Alligator mississippiensis: one gene and its partner. Each later gene encodes a partner of the first gene's protein in a complex. Links are inferred from orthologs where the notes say so. Each region holds a gene or a part of one and is shown in the gene's direction. Other genes may lie near its edges.

Region 1 (11,083 bases):
TTGGCTCTTTGGAGAGTGGCGAGGTTGAAGAAAGCAGCCTAATGCACTCGGGACGGCAAAGTATATTTGGAAGTTTGATTTTTTTTTATTCTTTGGAGAAACCATTTAAAAGTAACTCCAGCGAAGGGGAGGGTTCCCCCGCGTTGCAGAAAGACCCACGCGGTAGCAGTTTGAAGTGTTGTACACGCTGCCTGAGATATTCTCAGGCCCGTTGGATCGGCAATGGGGGATCTGATCTACACATCATTTTGGTGCGGGCCTGTCAAAAAAATGGTGGGGAGATCTAGGAATAAAAGTGAATTGATGCCTTCCCCTTTGCTCCACCTTCATCTCCACTGGGTCAAAATGAACCCAGCAGCGCGATATCAAAATGATCGCACGCTGCTTCTAGAAGACTGCGAGTCTTCCTTGGTATTTTATGCAGTCCTTCCGAAATGCACCTCTTTTGCATGTTGATTCGCATCCCGGGGATATCAGACATTGCACACAGCCATGCGAACTAGCAAAGAAAAGCGTGAATAACTGAAAAATAACTTGCACTGAAATGCTCAAAAGTTAGTCCAGATCTGCCTCGTGTAGGAGCTGATTCCACCGGCAGGCCGCGTCATTTAGACGCAATAAATCCAAATGCGTCGTGGCATGTCAAAGGTTTGTAATGAATGCAGAGAAAGCTAGACCTGCGCCCTTGCAATGGGATAAAAAAACTCACAAAAAACCTAGGGAAGGAGCCAAAGATCCTTAATCAACCTGATGTAGCTGAACTCGGGGACTGTAAGCCATAAGTTTTCTCTGTTTCTCAGTAATTTTCTCATTTGCAGAAATGAGTTAGCACACCCAAAGTCTGAGGGTCCAGCACTTGCCAATCTCTGGTTTGAACCTCCTCTCCTGCACTCCCACGGAGAGGAGATCGCTGAAGGCACCGGGCTGTTTAACAGACAAAGATACACAGTGACCCGGGGCTAGAACTGGAAGTTGAAATAATTCCCATTGGAAATTAAACACACTTTCGGACCAGCAAGAATAAATGAGCGTTAGAACGGCTTGCCAAGGGTTGTGACAGATCCCACCTCTCTTGGAGCTTCTCATTCAAGACTGGATGCTTTTCTAAAAGATATGTTCAAGTTAATTAGGCTTGATTTCATCACGGGATGAAACCCTGTGACCTGAGTTATGCAAGATTAGATCATCACAGCTGTCCTGTCTAGCCTCCACAGGCCAGACTCAGAGCTCATATCAATCAGAATAACTTCATTTGCTTATTGATTGATAGACACTGGCTAGCCGTGCGGCTTTATGACTCAACCTGATTTTATCCACATTTCCCTACAACTGGAAGTTGCTCAAACTTTTACTCTCACTGATGGGTACTCTAAAAACACCTGTATTAAATATCTAACTATCATGTATTAAATATCTAACGATTTTACACTTCGCTACACCTTGGATGGCTGTGCTAGGTCAGGGAACAAAGAACCACTGTTAGCTCCTGGTAATGAAGGGGCTGGCACCTTCCCACAAGCTCATCGTCCGTAGAGAGGACAGCACTTATGATGGAAGCAAGACCTACGTGTCCGGTGCGTCTCAGCTGGGTTTCCTGCTGCTGGTTCGATCTGTCGTTCAGTTTGCTTCGCTGAAATGTATGCTCCGAATTGCCAGCTTTCAACATGAACTCTTGTCACAAGTATCTAATAACAGGCATCCACTTGGAAACAAAAAGTGAGATCTTGGTGTGTGCCCCCCCCCCGTGAAACATGCTGCACGGATTAAACAAAGTTGAAGAAAGGAAAAATGGGGTTTGTTTCCATTTTGTGTGAAAAGGTATTTGGAAAGTGCCTTGATGCCAACTGCTGAAACTTCCTTAGCCTGGCGAAGGGTTTTTGAACCCGAAAGCTTGCTTAATAACTATTCTCCAACTATTTGGGTTGGTCCAATAAAAGATATCAAATTCACCCAAGGAACCTTGTCTCTCTTGATTAGCCTTTGGTTGTTGTATGTGATAACCAGACCTGAAAACATACAATCATAGGACATGAGGATTGGGAAGGACTTCAAAGCAGGACCAGCCCCAACTACATCATCCCAGCCAAGGCTTTGTCAAGCCAGGGCTTAAACACCTCCAAGGATGGAGATCCCACCACCTCTCCGGGTAACCTGTCCCAGTGTTTCACCACCCTCCTAGTGTGAGAGGTTTCCCTAATATCCAACCTCAACTTCCCTTGCTGCAGCTTGAGCCCATTGATCCTTGTCCTGCCATCTGCCCCCACTGAGACCAGTCCAGCTCCATCCTCCTTGCAAACCCCCTGCAGGGAGGTGAAGGCAGCTATCAAATCCCACCTCGGTCTTCTCTTCTGCAGACTCAATCAGCCCACTTCCCTCAGCCTCTCCGCACAAGTCATGTCCCCCAACCCGCTCACCATTTTCATTGCCCTCCACTGGACCATCTCCAATTTGTCCACAGTGGGGGGCCACAAATGGACACAGGACCCCAGTGCTTGTTGCAAGTTTAACTGTAGACAGGACTCAGTGGAAAACTTTGAGAAACCAATTTAATTGCATTTCTGTCTCTCTCATCCTCAGCACCTGGTCTCAAGGGCAGGAGCTGAGTTGCTTAATCAAAGCAAGACAAAGTTTTGCAGATGAATGACTGACCAGTGAGGGGAAACAATGGCTTTTTTATTAGTTATTATTTCAGGAATAGCTCTTGTTGTGTTTTGGCCCTGTGATACCACTCTTTTAAGGTAAAGTTGACCCAGTACTCACCATAATCTGAGCACAGTATGGATTGAAGAGAATAAACACAGGAAGGAAGGACAGTAGACCCAGAAAACATGAGCACGGACAGGTAGGACTGGGAGCCGTGGGCATGAATGCACCCTCATGTAACTTTGCCTGTTATTCTCATAGTACAGTAGTTTTCCTTGCTATAATATATATATATATATATATATATATACACACACACACACACACACACACACATATACACACTATATTATATTATATTATATATATTCCTCGCTATATTATACACACACACACACTCATATATATACATACATATATATAAAATTACCAGATTGGTCCCCAGTTGGTTTCTTTTTGTGAATGGCTCAATCAAATTCAATTTTCTTTCCTTTAAAGTTGAGTTCGAGCCAAGTGAAACCTGTTGTTTCTTTTTCATTTTCTTTAAAGGAATTCATGATTCTGTGCAATAATAACAGCAGAAGGCTCTTCTGCAGATATTTTCAAAGCATCAACCACTAATCGCAGGTGTGGGTCAATGCAGATGCTTCCCAAGTTTCCCAGCGAGTCTATGCACCTGTTAGCGCTGCTCCGCCCATGCTGTTATCACCCCATACCTAAAATATCAGAGTGGAACTGCTGGGACCTGTTGATGATAAAAGGCAGGAGAGAGATGGAAGAAATGCCAGGGAAAGATTAAGGTCTGAAAGTCAGGCAAAGGACAAAGAAGCGTTTGATTATCTGCAGCACTGTAGCAAGGTTTTGCTGAACGTCTGATGCTGCTCGTTGTTAGAGACATGCCACTGGAATAAATGGTCTATGAGTTTCATCCTGTATGACGGCTCCTTTGTTCCTACCCGTAAGGAGCCAAGGATCAATTATAATGCCTTCAAAGTAGATGCTGATGTTTGAAATGCAGTGAGACCTTTTTGAGCTGAATACCCGAGGAAGGAAGAAATGGGTCAAAAGGACGCCCTTCCTGTGCGCCAAAAGGCAGAATCCAACAAAACATTTCATTCTGCTGAATGAACAGACTTCAGAGAAGCCGGGAGGTCATTGTAAATGGAGGAGGAACATATTTGACATAAGTGAAGGGTGTGCAGCAGTTATCATTAAGAGCAATTCTTCTGACTTTTATTTCAATGGAGATCTCCAGTTCATTTCTATACAGCTAGCTATTAACAACCTGCCCCTGGGACGAACTTGCCTCGGACTGGGAGGCTTCAGCAGGGCAGATGGGAGGGGACGCCGGCCTCCAGGTGGGCTCAGCCCTTGGTTTCTTTGATGTTAGCGGGGGCAACCTGGAGTCTATCCCAACAGGGAGTGTTATCACGCAGATATCCCCTGGTGAGAAAGACACAGCAAGCTACATAAAGAGAATCAAAAAATACTGGAGGGATAAAAAAAGCGTTGTTTTCCACCTGCCGACAAACTGGGGTTGGGGCACAGCTGTCTTTGCAAATCCTTGATTTTTGTTCTTTGCTGCTTCCAAGGGTTTGTGTTTTGGGGGGTTTTTTTGCATCTGCCATGGAAAAATCTGCTGCCAGCCAGGGACAGGAGACGGGGAGATTGCTCCAAGGTCTGGTCAGCTCAGCAGTTCCCAGGGTGGAAAAAGATGTTTAATCTTCAATCTGCATAAGGTATCTTGGGACTGCCAGAGCAGCTCTAAGGGGTCTTTAACCAGTCTGGAGGGACTGCTGAGGATTTATCTGGCATCCTTTCATGCTAGAAAAGCCATTTAGCCAGCTTCGTGCCACCTGCCGTGCTGCCTGCTAGCCTATTGGCGCACAAGGGTGGGAAGAAGAGGAGCTCCCCACGTCTACCTGCCCAGCTCATCCTTTGCTGCGGAGATTGGTAGAAAACCCCCTTTTGATACTCAGAGGATCCATAAGAGATGTGATGTGATGGGGCTCTGATGCAAGCACCCCCAGTCTGAGAAAACGGCTTACTAAATGCAGGGGTGCAGGTTGTAGCCATGTTGAAACCCGAAAGCTTGCTAAAAACATTTTTTTTTCCAACTATTTAAGTTGGTCTAATAAAAGATTTCATATTCACCCAAAGAACCTTGTCTCTCTACTAAATGCAGAAAGTTTTGCCCTGGCTTCTCTTTCCATGGGTTATTTTAACCCGTATTCTGCTTGGTACGTCATACTACAATGGGGGGCTTTCCACGTTTTTAAAGTGTAGAAACCACCAAATAGTCCTTTTCTACTACTAAAGATCTGAGCCCTTTTTATGCAAAAACAAAGGGTTTTTTAGTTTCCCTACAACCTCGTTTTAAAGAGTTCAACTTTCTGCATTGCAAAATTATATGTGCTAGGGAGGTGGGGGGGGGTTGTAAAAAAAAAAGGAAACCTATTTGAAGCAATTTCTGTATTGTTCAATTCAGCGCTGAATTATACCTTGATAAAGAGCTGCCTGCTCTATTGGGACTCGGCCATTACGTTAGGGAAGTGTATTCTGCCGGATGCGGAAATGTCCCTGAAGGTGCTTGGCTGTTGAAGAGAGGTCGAGACACAGTGAAACACGTGATCAGAAGAAATAGAGAATGGATTGGACCCATCCAAGAGACAGCAAATTTGGATCTCTCCTGAGAAAGAAATGGGTTGGTTTTTATCCAACCAGATTCTCAGGCCAAAGAGATTCCAGTGAAGCAGAGTCAGGATTCAGATTTGGGCTCAAATCCACCATTAGCTGACTGTCTCTTGCCTCTGAGGAAACAAGAAGCCAGTGACAAAAACACAAACTTCCGATACCAATAATGAGTAGAAATAAAACCCTTTTTGCCCCATATTCAACAAAATAACTTCACAGTTTAAAAAAAAAAAATGCCAGCATGCAAAAGTACCCTGGACTAATCTGACAAGTTGAACTACAAAAGCAGATCTCTATGGGGAGAGAGTCAATCTGTTTGCAGATGGCTTTTTGCCATCTAAAGCTGATTACTAAAAATCAACGGGGACTCAGACATCTGCACCTGAAAACCAGGCATTTTCTTTGTGGCTTTTAGCTGGATGCAGCTTCAGGCTCATTTTGTAAAAGCTTTGGGACCCAGGCTGCATTGCTCAGTTATCTGACAAGTCTTGGAGCCGGACTCGTATCCAAGATTTCAGATTCCCAGCTGGATGCACCCCATGTTGCTGGTTCAGTAAATGCATCTGCTGCGAGAGCTGGTCTGAATAGCCAGGATCTCCTTTCTCACCCTAGACTCTGATGCACTTAGCTAGCCAATGAATATGTGTGAAAGGAGGGGCTTTCTAGCCGACTCCTCACAAGGGAACAGCTCTTACAACGGCGAAACCACAACTGAAGCCAGACGTGCATACACCCTGTGTCTCTCAGTATCTGTGTGCTTTCAGGTCTGACCGGACATCCCTCCTTCTCCCTCGCTCCCTACTTCTAAACGTGGGAAAAGTGGCACAGGGAAAACTTGAAGCAGCCTGGAAGAAGACTGGATCTGCATTATTCATCCCAACAGAACCAGCCATGGACTGGATCACCAACGTCTCATGGCTCGATCACCTCGCTGGGAAGGAGGAACCGCTCAGATGGCATTTAAACAGCACTGAGGACTATCTCGCCTTTTTATGTGGCCCCAAACGGAGTCACCTCTTCGTGCCCATGAGTTTAATATATGCCTTGATTTTTGTGGTGGGGGTGGTGGGAAACCTGTTAGTGTGCCTGGTGATCATAAAGCACAGGAACATGAAAACCCCCACCAACTACTACCTCTTCAGCCTCGCCATTTCGGACCTGCTGGTGCTGGTTTTCGGGATGCCGCTGGAGGTGTACGAGATGTGGAGCAATTACCCCTTCCTCTTCGGGCCCGTCGGCTGCTACTTCAAGACGGCGCTCTTTGAGACGGTCTGCTTTGCCTCCATCCTGAGTGTCACCACGGTCAGCATGGAGAGATATGTCGCCATCCTCCATCCTTTCCGGGCCAAGCTGGAGAGCACCAGGAAGCGTGCGCTGAGGATCATCATTGTCCTCTGGGTCCTCTCCGTCCTCTTCTCTCTCCCCAACACCAGCACTCACGGCATCTTGCTCCAGCGCTTCCCCAACGGGACGCTGGTCCCCGGCTCTGCCACCTGCACCGTGGTCATGCCTATGTGGATCTACAACTGTATCATCCAGGTCACTTCCTTCCTCTTCTATGTGCTGCCTGTGGCTATCATTAGTGTCCTCTACTATCTGATGGGGCTGAAAGTAAGTCCTAACTGAATGATGCCTTCCTTGCTTCTCTCTGTAACTTTCTTTCTAGCTCAGCTGCCTTTAAAAAGGTGATTTAACCCTTTTGAGGCAACAGCTGCTGTCCTTCCATCAATTGAGAAGGGAACCCATTGAAAACAACCTCCCTTGGGAGCAAAGGACCAGATTCACCCCCTGCTACACCACCAGCTGGGGGTAAATACGGCCTAATCTATGTGTATCATTTTAGTTCTTACTTCTGCGTCCCTGTTGAGGTGCTACATTTATTTTTTGTAGGTTTTTCAGGTTCTTGGCTCAAAAGGGGGTGTAAAAAGAGTAAAAAGTAGGAAGATTGAAAAGCTTGCCTTTCTTTGTCTTGTGACTTTAGCATTTTCATTGCATTCTCCTGCTCCTGCTTTCTTGGGCGGGCGGGCAGGCGGGCAAGTGATATGAACACTACTCGATCATACGCTTTTGTTAAAACTCACTTCTGAAATAAGCTGTCTTACTGCTGCAAGCACAAAATAATGAATGAGTCTTTTAAAAGTAGTGAGACGTGCTATAGAGCCATTTGCCTTCCGCGCAGCCTTTAGAAACCAGGACTGCTGGCAATGGGAACTGAAATAGAGATACAGGAGAAAAACAACCTAGGTTATACTGTATGTAACCAGCTTTTTTATAGCACTGTTGTGAACTACTCTGCTAAAATATTGTGGGGCTGGATTGGTTTTGGGTTTTTTTTTTCTGGGTATGGTTTTTAAAACGTCGGTACTAAGCTACGCTGCTCAGAATGCAACTTTGCAGAAGCGAGGTTTGCTCCCTTGCAAAGAAAGGGCAGGGAGCTGCAGGGATACCTGGTCAGAGAAGCAAATCAAGTGCTACAATCAGCTGTCACATCTGTATTGCCTCGTTAATGTGTTATCTGCTATTTAGTGCCACTTCACACAGGAGAAGAGGTGCCTAGGAGTACCTATGATTGTAGGTGAATAACTGAAAAACTACGGCAAACAAGAGATCTTTCTGAATGGATCAGGTTCCCATAAGCAGCAATTTATGGACTTAGATATAGATTCAAACAGCAAATTATGCACGGCTTAACCTAAAGGGAATGAAGGAAAGCATCACTTTTATCTTCACTGTTCAATTATGAACTGAAAAAACCTAGAGCTGGGTATGAAAAGCCTTTGCTTCAGGTAGGCGGTTGTAGCTGGTCACCGTTGCCCAGGTTTTCCGAGTTCTCCCTGCAGAAGAGATGCTACGTCGGTGCCAAGTCACAGCTCCCACTCTCAGATTTCTGAATGAGACCCGACATCGATCCTGCCCAGTCTCATCATCGTAAAGGCTTGGATGACCTTTCATTTATGCCTGCTTACTCTGCTTTATTCTCATAATGCACTCCCAGCTGCAATGCCATTGGCTTCAGCACAAGTAAAGGGGTAAGGCTGTTTAATTTTTAAATGGAAGTGATGAACAAACAGCAGTTAGCTCATTTTCAATCGCAGGCAATTTATATCAAAGCAGCAATGAGCAGTCCTGGGCTCGTCTGGGCATCTCGCGCTGTTTAAACCTGAATTGCAAAACTTCAGCGTTGACCCTGCAGTTGAAATCTGGAGCCAGGGACGTTTTCTTTCCATCCCAATAGTCCAAGCCTGGGCTTTGGGGAAAGAGGGATTGGTAATTGCACTTCCTCGTTTCAGCCCCGACAGAACCTAAATGCCCAGCAGCACCCTCTGGCATTGCACCGCAGGGAGAAGCAATTAGGAGCCGTTCAATCTCTGACAGGGCAGCAAGACTGCACTTAAGACTGCAGAGTCCAGCTTGTGTTCAGAGTCAATGGGATTTGTCTCCTGGATCGTGCAATTCCAGTTCAGTAGACTAGACTGACATCAAGAATGCCCCTAAACCACCTGGGTTTGCATCTTCAGTCTTGCTAAGGCATGTGCTACAGAGAACTCGAGCCATTATTGCGGAGGAGAGGAGAGGAATCAGGTAGGGGCTGTTCTGGCCAGGTGTTACTCACCTCCTTATGGATGCCCTCAAACTAACAGCTCATAAAAAAGATCCCGTAATGACTGCACAAGGATGTCTGTGTGCTTTCATGCCTGTAAGGCTCAGAGATACAGGAACAGTCTTTGAAGTACCTATATGGCCACCATCACTACAGCATCCAGTGGGTGATGGGCAGTGAAGAGATTTCCCATCCCAGAAGTTTGGAGATTGAATAAAAGAATCCCCACCTAGAATCAGGAAGGAAAGCCTTTGGATCAGTGAGCTTATGCTGAAAAATACCATCCTGAGTTTTATGACCCTCACTTTACTGATGAGGAGCTGAAATCCAATGAGATGTAGGTGACTTCAAGGTGTGGAGGTGGAAGCTCTCTGCTTTTTGTTGGCCAAGACAGTGCAGGTTTTCTGGAAGAAGCAAAGAAGGGCGTGAGCTCGACATCTCACAGCCATTCAGTGACTGGCCTCCCTGGTAAAGTGGAAACAGGAATAGTAATTCAGATGTGTTGTATTATGGAGCGATTCCTGGGGAACTATGGGGACCACCACACGTTTCACAGGACATCAGGTGACAATAATTTTCAGCTACGGTCAATTGTGTTGGATTCAAACTGAACAAACAGATAGAGATGGCTTTGTATGTCTTTACCAGCCCTCAAGAACCGTCCAGAGTACACATGAGGACATCCTGCCTTTCTTAACATGTTCCTGGAACAATAAAGGGATGGAAAATGACCTGGAGAAACTCTCCTTAAAGGGAGAACATTTCTATTTTGCATTCAGTCCTCAACCTGCCGGCTGATGCTGCCAGTTGCCCTTGTGAGGACTGTGATAGACATCTACCCAATAGCTATTAGCACACACTACACCAATTCTTCTCCCATAGACATTTATAGGTAAGACCTGGAAGATGGCAGAGTGCACCCTCAGCAAGCGTGCAGATGACACCGAGCTGTGGGGAGTAGCAGATACGCTGAAGGGTAGGGCTAGGATTCAGAGGGACCTAGACAAATTGGAGGATTGGGCCAAATGAAATCTCATGAGGTTCAACAAGGACAAGTGCAAAGTCCTGCACTTCGGACGGAGCAATCCCATGCACCGGTGCAGGCTGGGGGTGACCGGCTGGGCAGAAGCTCTGCAGAAAAGAGCCTGGCGGTGATGGGGGACAAGAAGATGGATAGGAGCCAGAATGTGTGCCCTTATTGGCAAGAAGGCTACCGGCATCCTGGGCTGCATCGGTAGGAGCGGTGCCAGCAGATCGAGGGCAGTGATTCTTCCCTCTGTTCAGCACTGGGGAGGCCACATCTGGAGTCCTGTGTTCCGTTTTGGGCCCCCACTACAGAATGGATGTAGACAAGTTGGAAAATCCAGCGGAGAGCAATGAAAATGGTTGTGGGTCTGGGGGACAGGACTGGTGAGGAGAGGCTGAGGGAATGGGGCTGATTGAGTCTGCAGAAGAGAAGACTGAGGGGGATTGAATAGCAGCCTTCACCTCCCTGCAGGGTGGTTGCAAAGACGACGGAGCTGGGCTGTTCTCAGTGGTGGTAGATGGCAGAGCAAGGAGCAATGGGCTCAAGGTGCAGCAAGGGAAGCTGAGGTTAGATTTTAGGAAGAATTTTCTCACTAGGAGGGTAGTAAAACACTGGGACTGGTTACTCAGAGAGGTGGTACAATCTCCATCCTTGGAGGTTTTGAAGACCTGGCTGGACAAAGCCTCGTCTGGGATGATGTAGTTGGGGCTGGTCCTGCTTGGAGCAGGGGCTTGGACTAGGTGTGACCTCCTGAGGTCCCTTCCAACCCGAATTTTCTATGCTTCTGTGCCATTGATGGGCTTCTTATAAATACAGAAACAGGAAAGACTCCTGCATTCTTCCTCAGATGGTGCTTGCTGCTAATGTGAGCTATGCGAAGTCTAACATGGTTCGATTGCTTTTGTTAGATGCTTTCTTTGGGTTAGCATGGGTATACATGGGAGCAGACTCTCAGGCTATAACATTTGGTTCTTATTAGAAAATGCTACAATACCTAAAGATTCCTGTTCTGTGCTCCACGCACATTTTATTCTCTTGAAGCACATCCTTTAAAACCATTTGCAGGGAGCCCTGCTTCATGTCGTATGTGGTCTGTTGCATGTACAACGGTCGACTCC
Region 2 (10,522 bases), on another chromosome or scaffold:
CATTCAGAGATACCCAGTCTAGCTCTGCTAATTAGCTCTTGAGCAGCCTCATGCAAACACAACTACACTGTTCCCACTCTGACAGTCAGCATGACTCTGCCTCATGTGGCCTTGTGCCTTGCACCACCCATGGTACAGGTTTGTAAGTGCCTATCTGTCAGTGATTCTCAGCCATCAACCTCTTCTTGGAGCTAGATATCTATGATCATCAGCTGTTCTTCATAACTAAAAAAACATAGAAAGACCTTTATTATACCTAATAGATAAGTAGGTGGTTTTGCTTTGTGCTCCCATATCCCGAGAGAGGGCCCTTACCACTAGACTATTGGTTATTCTGGGATGAGGGTTGGTTAGTCTCTCCTGACAGAGCCGTTTCATGTTGTTTATATGTGACGGGCTGGCTGGCAGTGATTTAGCCCAGGGGTTTTGAAAGGGCAAAAGATGATTGGAGGACTTGGGATTTCCTCTTTCTCACCAATCTGGTAATGATTTGGCCCAGGGGTTTTGAAAGGGTAAAAGATGATTGGAGGACCTGGGATTCCCTTTCCTCACCAATCAGGCCCCAGAGACTCATGCTCCATGTCCCCTGATTGGCCCCTTGGGTCACCAGGAGGGGGATAAAAAGGGCAGCGCAGCTGACTCAGGAGAGGTCAGTGAGGGACCACAAGGAAGGAGTTTCAAAGAGTTGGCAAAGAGCTGGGCTAGCAGGGCAGGAGCAGTTGCCCCAGAACAACCTGAAGGAGTGGGACCTGCAGGCAGCAGTTGGACCCTCAGCAGCACAGCGTGTGGCCAGCAGGAGAGGCTCCCCACTGGGCTCCAGGATCCCCTACAAAAGACTGTGGCCAGCAGGAGAGGCTCTCTAGCTCCAGCAACGATCTGAGCAGTGACCTGAAAGGTTCCCAGCTCTGCTTCCAGCTCCTCCAATAAGAGGCAAGGCAGCTCAATGTGAGGCCGGGGCTCCAGGATGGTCAAGTCCCCCTAACAGTTTGGAGCAGCTCAAGCACTGTTGTTTGTGTGATAGAGTTTTTGCCTACCATGTGAAAGATTTGAGTTCAAGTCCCAGATGGGGTGAGTGCAGTAGCAGAGAGAAATCTTTGTTGCAGTGGAAAAGGGTTTTCCCCCTTTCTCCCCCTCCAGGTACCTAGGCCCTATATTCCTTGTCATTTGACAGTTTGTATTTTGTGCCTTTTATATTTCACCTACCAGTATTGTTTGTTCTGCTGTTTGTGTTTTACATTTTGGTTAACCCTGTCTTTTGTCAACTGGATGAATATTTCTATGATTGTAAGTGTATAACCTTTGTTGAATCCTGCCCCTTCGGGGCATTGTAGTGTTCCCTATACCCCTCTGGTTTATACTGGTTATGTTCCCAGCATTGTTCCCTCATTAAAAGGTATATGGTTAAGTCCCCATTGGTGGTCTGGCTCTGCTCTATAGGGGGAGGAGGATCCCCACACCTCCCACAGCGCTTGTGCACCTGCTTTGAGCTCTTCAATTGTAGAGGGGGTACCGCTTGGAGTACCACCCGGGTTGCATATATAATTAAATAATTCCAGTAGGGACTGAATCTACTCCACTCATGTGTGCCCACATGTGTTCTCTCCTGCTTAATGAACACTTAATTATTTTTAAAAAACCAAAACAAAACAAACTGCTCCATGGCTGAAGTCCCTGCTCCAAAATAGACAAAGTGGGGATCTTACAACTTTCCCCAGGTAACTGCGTTTACTAGGAGCAGATTCAGAGCAGGTGCACTGGCATGGTTCTACCTCCTTTTCCACAGTGTAGCCCAGTGGCTCTGGGCACCTGGGTCCCCAGAGGAGTCTGGACTACATCACAGGTCCCTCAAGCAAATAGAAACCCCACTCTCACAGCACCCTGTCTCTTTCTCCCTCATGCTCAGTGGCCCCTCCCTGAGCTGCTTCTGTCCCACTTCAACTAGGGCTGTAGGGAGTGACTGTGCAGGCAGTTGGGCTCAGCCAGGGAGAGTGGCAGCAGTGGGAAGTTTCCCTCTCCTGTGCTGCACCTCCCACCCCACCCCAGGTGTTCCCCACCTGCCTGGGAAAAGGCTTTCAGCTGAAGTGGAGCAGGAGTGGCTGGGACAGCGGCAGCAGTGGGTGTGCCTCTCCTTTGTGCCTCCAGAGGCGTAAGTAGAGAGGACAAGAGGAATATGGGATGGGAAAGAAGGTGCCACTGAGAAAAAAGGGAAAGGGAAGGTGTGCCGAGAGCAGGGGGGTGGGAATGGTGAGGAGAAGGATTTTTATCTGATTTGGGGACTTGGAAAAAGTCCCTGGCTGTTGCTCCCACAATGTAGTCTGCTTGACTCAGTGTAGGGGATGTGGTTGGGAGCAGGGAAGAACAGATACTTCTGCAGGGTTGGTCACTGATCCCACATGCCTAGGGTGACCATAATAATTTGAAGGAAATTTGGGATGGGGGACACCAGAATATGTGCAACTTCCCCTCCCCACTCCCTCTCCCACCCTGATCCTGTGGCTCTCAGGAGCAGGGCTGGGCAGGACAGCACAGAGCACACTCACCCACCCACCCACCCACTCTGCAGCTCCCAGAAGTGAGCAAGACAATGTGCGTGTGTGTTTATGCACATATACACATGACCTCCCAGCTCCCAGAAGTAGGGCCAGGCAGGATAGCGCAGCATGCGTGCACCCGTGCACACACACACACACACACATAGACACACACACATGACCCCACACCTCCCTGCATGCACCCCTCCCTTCACCCTGACTCCACTGTGCAAGAGACTCCACTTGCAGCTCAGAGGAGTTTGGACCAGGGAGCAGCTCATTGGCTGAAACAAAACTGAAGCAAAAATTCTTGATTGGCATGAGCCCACCTGCACATGCATGGCTCCTCAGTCAGGAGTTGGCATATAGTTTCATAGTAGGTAGGGTCAGAAGGGACCTGAGCAGATCATCAAGTCTGACCCCCTGCCATGGGCAGGAAAGAATGCTGGGATCAAACGACCCCAGCAAGGTGTCTATCTAGCCTCCTTTTGAAGACCCCCAGGGAAGGAGCAAGCGCCACTTCCCTTAGAAGTTGGTTCCAGATGAGGCTAGGTTTGTGCCAATCTGGGACTTTTGCTTCAATTTTCTCCAATAGCCAGAATGCTGAGATGACCTCTGAAATCCGGGACTGTCCTGAGCAATCTGGGATGTATGGTCACCCTACGCATGCCCTCTTTTCAAAATCCTATTTTTTCCAAGTTTTCCAGTATTAATTTGTGGAACTTCTCAATCAGAATGAATTTGTACCTTGAGAAAGATCCTTCAAAGTCCACAGATGTAACAGGGCAAAATTTGAAAGCAGGAGTCAGCATTGCTGGTACTATTTCTGGTAGTTCCAGATCAGTACCATCCAAGTAACTCTTCACCACTACCAGTGCTTCATATCCATAGTTCCTCTTCAAAAGTCTTTGCAGCTTGTTTCTCATTCATTGGCTTATATCATGCACAACAGACTTAATTTTTTCAACCCCTTTGATTTTGTCAAGTTAAATCATATTGAGAAGCCCCCATATCTCAAGTTTCTTGATCACCTGTGGTAGAGCAGAAAAGTGTGCATGAACCATTTCAAGATCCCTCTTGACTGTAGAGCTGTCAAAAGTCATTTGTGTTACTGTGATGGAGGCTGTCTTGCTGGCATGGGCTCTGGTGATAGGAGCTTGTCAGACAGAACTTCTTTGTAGTTCTGTACTGTCAGTGGTACCTTTGTGAACACTTTTTTTTAACTCTTGACACGATGGAGTAGACAGATGGAAACTCAAATCTAACTTGTTTGGCAACCCAATTGAAGCCATGCACCAAACAGGCTAAGTGCAGTTGGTGCAAATAGTGACATTGCTGTTGCTACTTTCAGCATATAGGCTGCAGCACTGAAAAGCAGAAGATGTGAGTTCTCTTCACTGATGGCAATAGAGTTTGGCCCTTGGAAACTAATTTTTTTTTTCAAACTGCAAATATATGCTTTTTATGTATCAACATTACTATTATACACCAACCCCTCAATATGTATGCATATGCACTATAAAGCATACATATGTGGAGCTTTCCTGATGCAAATAATGTTTTAGTCGGAGTTCTGATAGCCTACATACCCAGGAAAAGAATATGTGTTTTCATTTAAGTCTCACATTTATTAATATCAGGCAATTCTAATAAATGGTAGCGAAGTGCAAAGCTTGTATGGATGCCATGATGCTCAAGTTTGTCTAATACAAGATATCACATCTACCCAAAGAACCTTGTCTGCCTCTGTCCTTAGACCAACACAGCTACAACCAAAAGCCCTGCACAATCAGACATGCTCAGGTCACCAGCACAGTAGCTTTAGCCATGCAGGAAACATGCATACATGCAATTTGATTCTAATAGCTGGTGCAAAAAAGCACGTATTTATAGAATATAGTTTCAGATGTTGATGCCAATGTGGTGGATTCCATTAAGTGAGATTCTAATAAACCATAGTAAGTGTATGGAGGTAAACTTTGAGGCATTTACTTTACAGTTTTTTTATGCTAACATGAACAACTAGTTGTACTGAGATTCTAATAACAGGAAGATACTAAATATATACAAGGTAAAAGCTGTATAGGTTCAAGCAGAAGCCTTGCTAACCACAATGCATGGTCTTCTAATCCATAGACTACATACCTTTCAGTTGTTCTACTTAATTGTTAGATATCTATTGCTTTTTTCCCTCCATTACTTCTCTAGTAACAATAGAAGCAATTGCCTTAATTGCACTTATTGCCCTTTGACAACCTATTTTTAATTGTTTAGAATTTTCCTCATCCTCCTCTTTTGGGATGAAATTAACCAACACTGGTTAATTTTCTCAGAAAAGGTCTCTTCTCAAAATTTTCAGAGCAAAAATTGTCACAAATGATCAGTCAGTTGTGTTGCACAAACGGCTAGTTTCATGCCCCTGGAGGCTTTTCCAATACACCTCAAGGAGAGAGTCATACACACTCAGGCCGGGTCCAACTCGAGTTTATTTGTTTGCAAACAGATCGACCAGGGAGCTGAGTCGCTCAAATCAGAGTCGACCTCAAACTGTGTCTGAAGCTTTTTTTTATAGCCAACGTAAACAATAGATTTCAACGTGTCGTGCAATTATTGGCAGACTTAGCATTACGTCTTGCATCGTATGTCTTAGCAGTTACATGTTTTATGACGGTTTACATACATGTATCATTTACATCTTAAATCCCCTCCCAGGGGCAGTTCTTAAGCCCCTCTGGTCATCCTTTGGTCAGGGTAAAATTTCTTTGCATCAACATTTTTCCCTGTCCCTCTTTGCTTATCTCTTATTTATTGCATCCGTTCCTGGCTCCGTCTGCAGAATTTTAGTTCTACTCGTAAATCAATTGTTAGTCTACTTGTCTTAGTGATAAGTGTGGAAGCGAGAGTAAAAACATGCGGAGTGCATAAGCAATTACAAAAGCAGGGTGTATAGATTATGCTGTATTTTTACCACAGTTGGATTACTCGTGGGCCTCTGGTTAAAAGCCTACCCATAAAGCATTCCTGAACTGGGGACTAAGGATCTTAACTCTGACATCCTTGTTTTCCCCAGTCTTTGTAAGAAAGGGTTAAGGCAGGGGTTTCAAGCACATCAGGCCTCACTGGTTGGAAGAATACCCTGGGGCTGGTCCATGGGCTGGATCGGACCTATGGGTCAGATCAGCCCTACAGACCAGCCTTGTGCTCTAGATCTTGGACTGGCCACAGAAGGTGCTGTGTGTGGTGCAGTTCTGCTTCATGCTCTGGGGCATAAACTGGAGTGGGCATTGCGTGTGCTGCAGGGGCCATCCGGTGTGCCCCACATGCTGCCAGCAGGTCAACTCTGAGACCAACTGGCAGCAGTGGGTACTGGATGATGATGAGACTCTGCGGGCTGGCTCTGGCCTGCGGGCTGTATCTTTGACATCCTTGGGATAAAGGACACTTTATCGCAGATGCCAAGGATGGACAGCTCCAGAAGAAATCGTTTTACAGTCAGTCTGAAACCAATCCCTGTTGTTTCAGGGCTCCTTCACATGCACATGCACATGCACATGCACACACACTCTCTCTCTCTCTCCCTCTTGTTTTAGGGCTCCCTCTCTCTCACCTCTCCAGTTGTTTCAGGGCTGGTTCTCCCCTCCACTTTTTCAGGGCTGGTACACACACACACACACACACACACACAGCCTGTTGTGTTAGGGCTCCTCTGTCACACACACACACGCACCCCTCCCTCCCTCCCAGCTGTGTCAGGGCTGGCACGCGCAGACCCGGGGCTGTGGCGGGCGGGGGAGCGGGGTGACGCGGCCCTGAGTCCGGGGGAGGCCGCCACGTGTCCCGGAGATTTAAAAGTTTGGGAGGGAGCGCGCCCGGCCCGCGCTGCAGGCTCCTCTCAGCTCCGGGAGCGCACGGGCCAGCCGAGCCGGACCATGCTCCGCACCAGCCTCTGCCCGCAGCAGCAGCCGCCCGCCGGCCCGCAGCGCAGCCCCGGGGACGTGCCGGGCGCCGCCGCGCTGCTGCTGCTGCTGCTCCTCGCCTCCTGCACGGGCGCCTGCCGAGGTGAGCGGCGAGGGCCGGGGGCAGCGGGGCCGGGGCCGGGGCAGCGCTGCGGTCGGGGCCGGCCGCCTCCGCTGGCGCTCGGGGCGCGGGGGCAGCTCCCGCTTAATACCCGCCGGTGCCTTGGCTTCCCTTCGGCACAGTCTCACGCCTTTTTCATTCTGGCTGGCGAAAGAAATGATGCCTGAGACGGTCTGTGAAGTTCTTGCTGGCAGCAAAGAAATGAGAGGGGGAACTTCTTGTTTTCTTTTGAGCAGAAACCCGGGTATAGCAGCAAGCGAGGAGTGAAGTACTGGTTTCTATATTACTCTTCTAGCAGTCGGGGGGGGGGGGGGGATTGTTGCGTTTAAACTTGAGTTGTTTTCCTTTTCCAGGTCCAAAAAAAATCAACTGTTTTGCAATCTGGCTTTTATTTGCAATGGGTCCAACACTGAATTGGAGAATTAATGTAATCAACTCTTATGAATCTCCATTTCCTTTATAAAGGCTAGTAATAGAATCACAGAAAATGCAGGTTGGAAGGCACCTTGGGAGGTCGTGTAGACTGGGGGTTCTCAACCTGTTTTGTACCAGGATCCACTTACGAACATCACTGGCTGGCCCCAACCCAGCTCCCCTTACTCCTGACCCGCTGCTCCTATCCCCAGGCCCCAGTGTGTGGGGCCTGGGGGGCCCCAAACAGCCCCTCACAGGCTGCAACTCTGCCAGCCTCCAAGGGGAAAGCCAGGGTTTCCCACATTTTTTCCCTGTAACGGAGAATCCATTTTTAAAGTTTCTTGGTCCATTTTAAATGTTTCTTCCTGACCCTTTCATATATTCTTGTGACCCACTTTTGGGTCACGACCCACAGATCGAGAAACACTGATGTAGACCAACACCCCTCCTCCCCCAAGCAGGACCATCCCCAACTATCTCATCCCAACCAAGGCTGTGTCTAGCTGGGTTTTAACAACTCCGAGATTCCACCACCTCTCTGCCCAGACTGTTCCAGTGCTTTACTACCCTCCCAGTGAGTGTTTTTCCTAATATCTAACCTAAACTTCTCTTGCTGCAACTTGAGACCATTGCTCCTTGTTCTGTCATCTGCCACCAGAACAGTCAAGCTCCATCCTCTCTGTAGTCACCCTTCAGGTAGTTGAAGGCTGTTGTTAAATCCCCTCTCAGTCTTCTCTTCTCCAGACTTAAGTAAAATGATGTTGTAACTAAATAAATGGCATTTTAGTAAAAACAGAACTTATGTTATAGACAGATAGGTAGATAGCATTTCCTATTCTATCAGGAGCTTTACAACATCATTGCAAGCGTAGTTATTAACTCCTTGCAGAGTAACCTCATACAATAATGCATTACATATTGACTGTTTTTGCTTTGTTTGTCTTGCTTGTATGGGAGTTGCTCTTTTACCTGTGACTGTGATATTTAAGCGCCATCAGAAAGTAGCAGGGTCTAAATATTTTACCTCACTAAAGAGCATGCTTTTAAAAAGACCAAAAAAAATCTTTGAATTTACACTGTTACCCATAGATACTAGAACCAAATCTGAATGTCTGGAATATCCACAGTGCCCCAGAAGTTAATGTTTGATGCTGCTATTTCCTATCAGAGGGATCCACTTTTAATGAAGCGATATTTACTTGCCCTTTTAAAGGATTAGGAATACAATTCTGCATGGGTCTGATGCTCTCAATTCCCATTTATTTAAACTGCTGAGAATTGTGGATCTTCAGGGAGTCGGAGGATCAGGCCCATATTGTTGACAGACGGGTCTAGGGTTGCCAGTAACTTCTTAAAATGATCTAGAGCAGGGGTAGGCAACGTTTTTTGGCTGGAGTGCTGAAAAACCTACAATGCCTACCTTGGAAGGTGCCGACGTGCCAGCAAGCCAGAAAAACAAAATGAGGACAGGGGGTACATGGCAGGATGCTCTGCTTGTGCCCCTTGCCCCCACCCAAAGCCCTTGCCTCCCAGCCCTGCTGCCCTGTGCCCCCCACCCTTGCTGCCCCTTACCCCCCAGCCTGGGCTCTGTGGCTATCAGCAGTTACCCAGAGCCTAGGCCAGCTGCAAACATCTGCTGCCTCTCCACCCTGGCCCTGGCCTCAGCTGCCTCCCAGCCCCAGACCTGGCCCCTGGCTCTGCGGAGGCAGCACATACCGGCAATGCTCCCTGTTGTGCTGCCCTCACCTCCTGTGTGCACAGGAGCAGCGTGGGCAGCAGCGCAGGGTTGCGCCCCTTCCTGCTGCCCCCACCTGCAGGGGAAGTGTGGCAGGGCAGTGGGGAGCTCGGAGCAGGCAGCTTTCTGAGCCCCCTGCTGTGCCCTGCCGCACTGGGTTCCAACGCTGCTCTGCAGAAGCGGCAAGAGCAGCACAGCAGGGAGCATTGCCAGTGTGTGCTGCCTCCCCGGAGCCCAGGTTCAGGTCTGGGGCTGGGAGGCAGCCGGGGCCGGGGTGCAGTGGCAGCAGATGTTTGCAGCTGGCTCAGGTTCTGGGTAGTTGCTGATAGCCACGGAGCCCGGGATGCTTGCAGCAGGACTTCCATGGGAGCAGCCCGAGTTCTGTGGCTATCAGCAGGTACCCAGAGCCGGGGTCGGCTCCGACTGGGAGGCTACAAACAGCTGCCGCCTCCCTGCCCTGGCTCCGGCTCCGGCCCCGGCCCCGGCCCCGGCCCCGGCTATCTCCCGGTCCCGGGCTCCAGGAAGGCAGCAGGTGCCAGCACTGCGCCTGTTGGTCCGAGGGCAAGGAGGCAGCAGCTGTTCGTAGCCTCCCGGCTGCGGCCGGCCCCAGCTCTGGATAGCTGCAGCCAGCCGGGAGCCCGGGCTGTTCCCAGCAGGCAGCTGGGACGCTGCAAACCCTTCTGGGAGCAGCGCGGGCTCCCGGCTGGCTGCAGCTATCCAGAGCTGGGGCCGGCTGCAGCCGGGAGGCTACGAACAGCTGCTGCCTCCCCAGCCCCAACACGTGCTGAGGAAAATGGCCTCACGTGCCATGCTCGGCACGCAGGCCAGGGGTTGCCGACCTATGATCTGGAGAGAGGTTTACATTTCTGCAAGCCTGCTATTCAAAATAAAATGCTATGATAGTTTTTTAATAGAGTCACTTAGTGAAATAGAGCACATAGAATCATATAAATATACCAGTATAAAAATGAACAGCACTTTAACAATCTTTTCTGACAGTATTATTATTATTGTTGTTATTACATTTGCCTCTGTCAGCAACAAAGTAACACACATGTGGTACTTATACAAAGATACTCTTACCAAACATTGTGACTCAAACTGTAAAGTACCAAGAATGACATCTTTTATGTTGCCCCAAGTATACATGCTAAGTTTTCTGATGGCTTCAGCAACTGAATAAAATACATTTTTGGTATCTACACTAGACCAGTGGTTCTCCACCATTTTTGTACCAGGACCCATGTGTGAACATCAATGACCAGTCCCAACCCAGTGCTCCTGACTCTGGACCCACTGCCCAGAACTCCCAGGCCCCAGTCCTCCAGTGTGCGGAGCATGTGGGGCCCAAAGGAGCCCCTTGCAGCCTGCAAGGGAAAAACCACTGTTTCCCATGTTTTTCTCCTTTAAAAGAGAACCAATTTTTCAAGTTTGTTTATCTATTTTTAAAGTTTGTTTGTGAGCCTTTCATATATTCTTGCAACCCACTTTTGGGCCGCTACCCATGGGTTGAAAAATGCTGCACTTAATCACACCCTCACCAGAAGCTGAAGAAAACAATTGTTTCATTCTCTTGTAATGAGAGATTCTGTAACATTACGTTTGGGAGCTTCACTAAATTTAAAACATGAAACTTATCAGTGTATTGATAGATTTCATCTGAGTAGCTGATTGCTAGAAAGAGTTACTGTGTTCTATGATTTAATGTAGTCATATTTTTGTTAGCCTAGAGCCCTAGACCCCTTAACAAGCTGAAATATGAGCG

What was found.
Region 2: the proteins of NMUR2 (region 1) and NMU are in contact, whole or in part, in a cryo-EM structure (PDB 7XK8), measured with the Homo sapiens proteins. The link is inferred for Alligator mississippiensis from reciprocal best matches to the Homo sapiens genes NMUR2 and NMU. Residues at the interface, in NP_064552.3 of Homo sapiens: Ser42, His43, Gly98, Glu102, Glu105, Met106, Trp107, Arg108, Asn109, Tyr110, Pro111, Thr123, Phe126, Glu127, Asn181, His185, Pro199, Ser201, Thr203, Cys204, Val206, Tyr213, Phe284, Arg288, Phe291, Glu295, Trp297, Ser298, Glu299, Ala302; in NP_006672.1 of Homo sapiens: Glu146, Phe152, Ala153, Ser154, Gln155, Gly158, Tyr159, Phe160, Leu161, Phe162, Arg163, Pro164, Arg165, Asn166.

What each region holds. Positions count from the first base shown.
Region 1 is NC_081832.1:76,086,046-76,097,128, reverse strand, and holds the start of NMUR2 (neuromedin-U receptor 2), read left to right. Parts: upstream 1-6,048; 5' UTR 6,049-6,228; coding exon 6,229-6,948; intron 6,949-11,083. UniProt on the Homo sapiens protein: Receptor for the neuromedin-U and neuromedin-S neuropeptides.
Region 2 is NC_081825.1:60,616,573-60,627,094, reverse strand, and holds the start of NMU (neuromedin-U), read left to right. Parts: upstream 1-6,377; 5' UTR 6,378-6,460; coding exon 6,461-6,590; intron 6,591-10,522.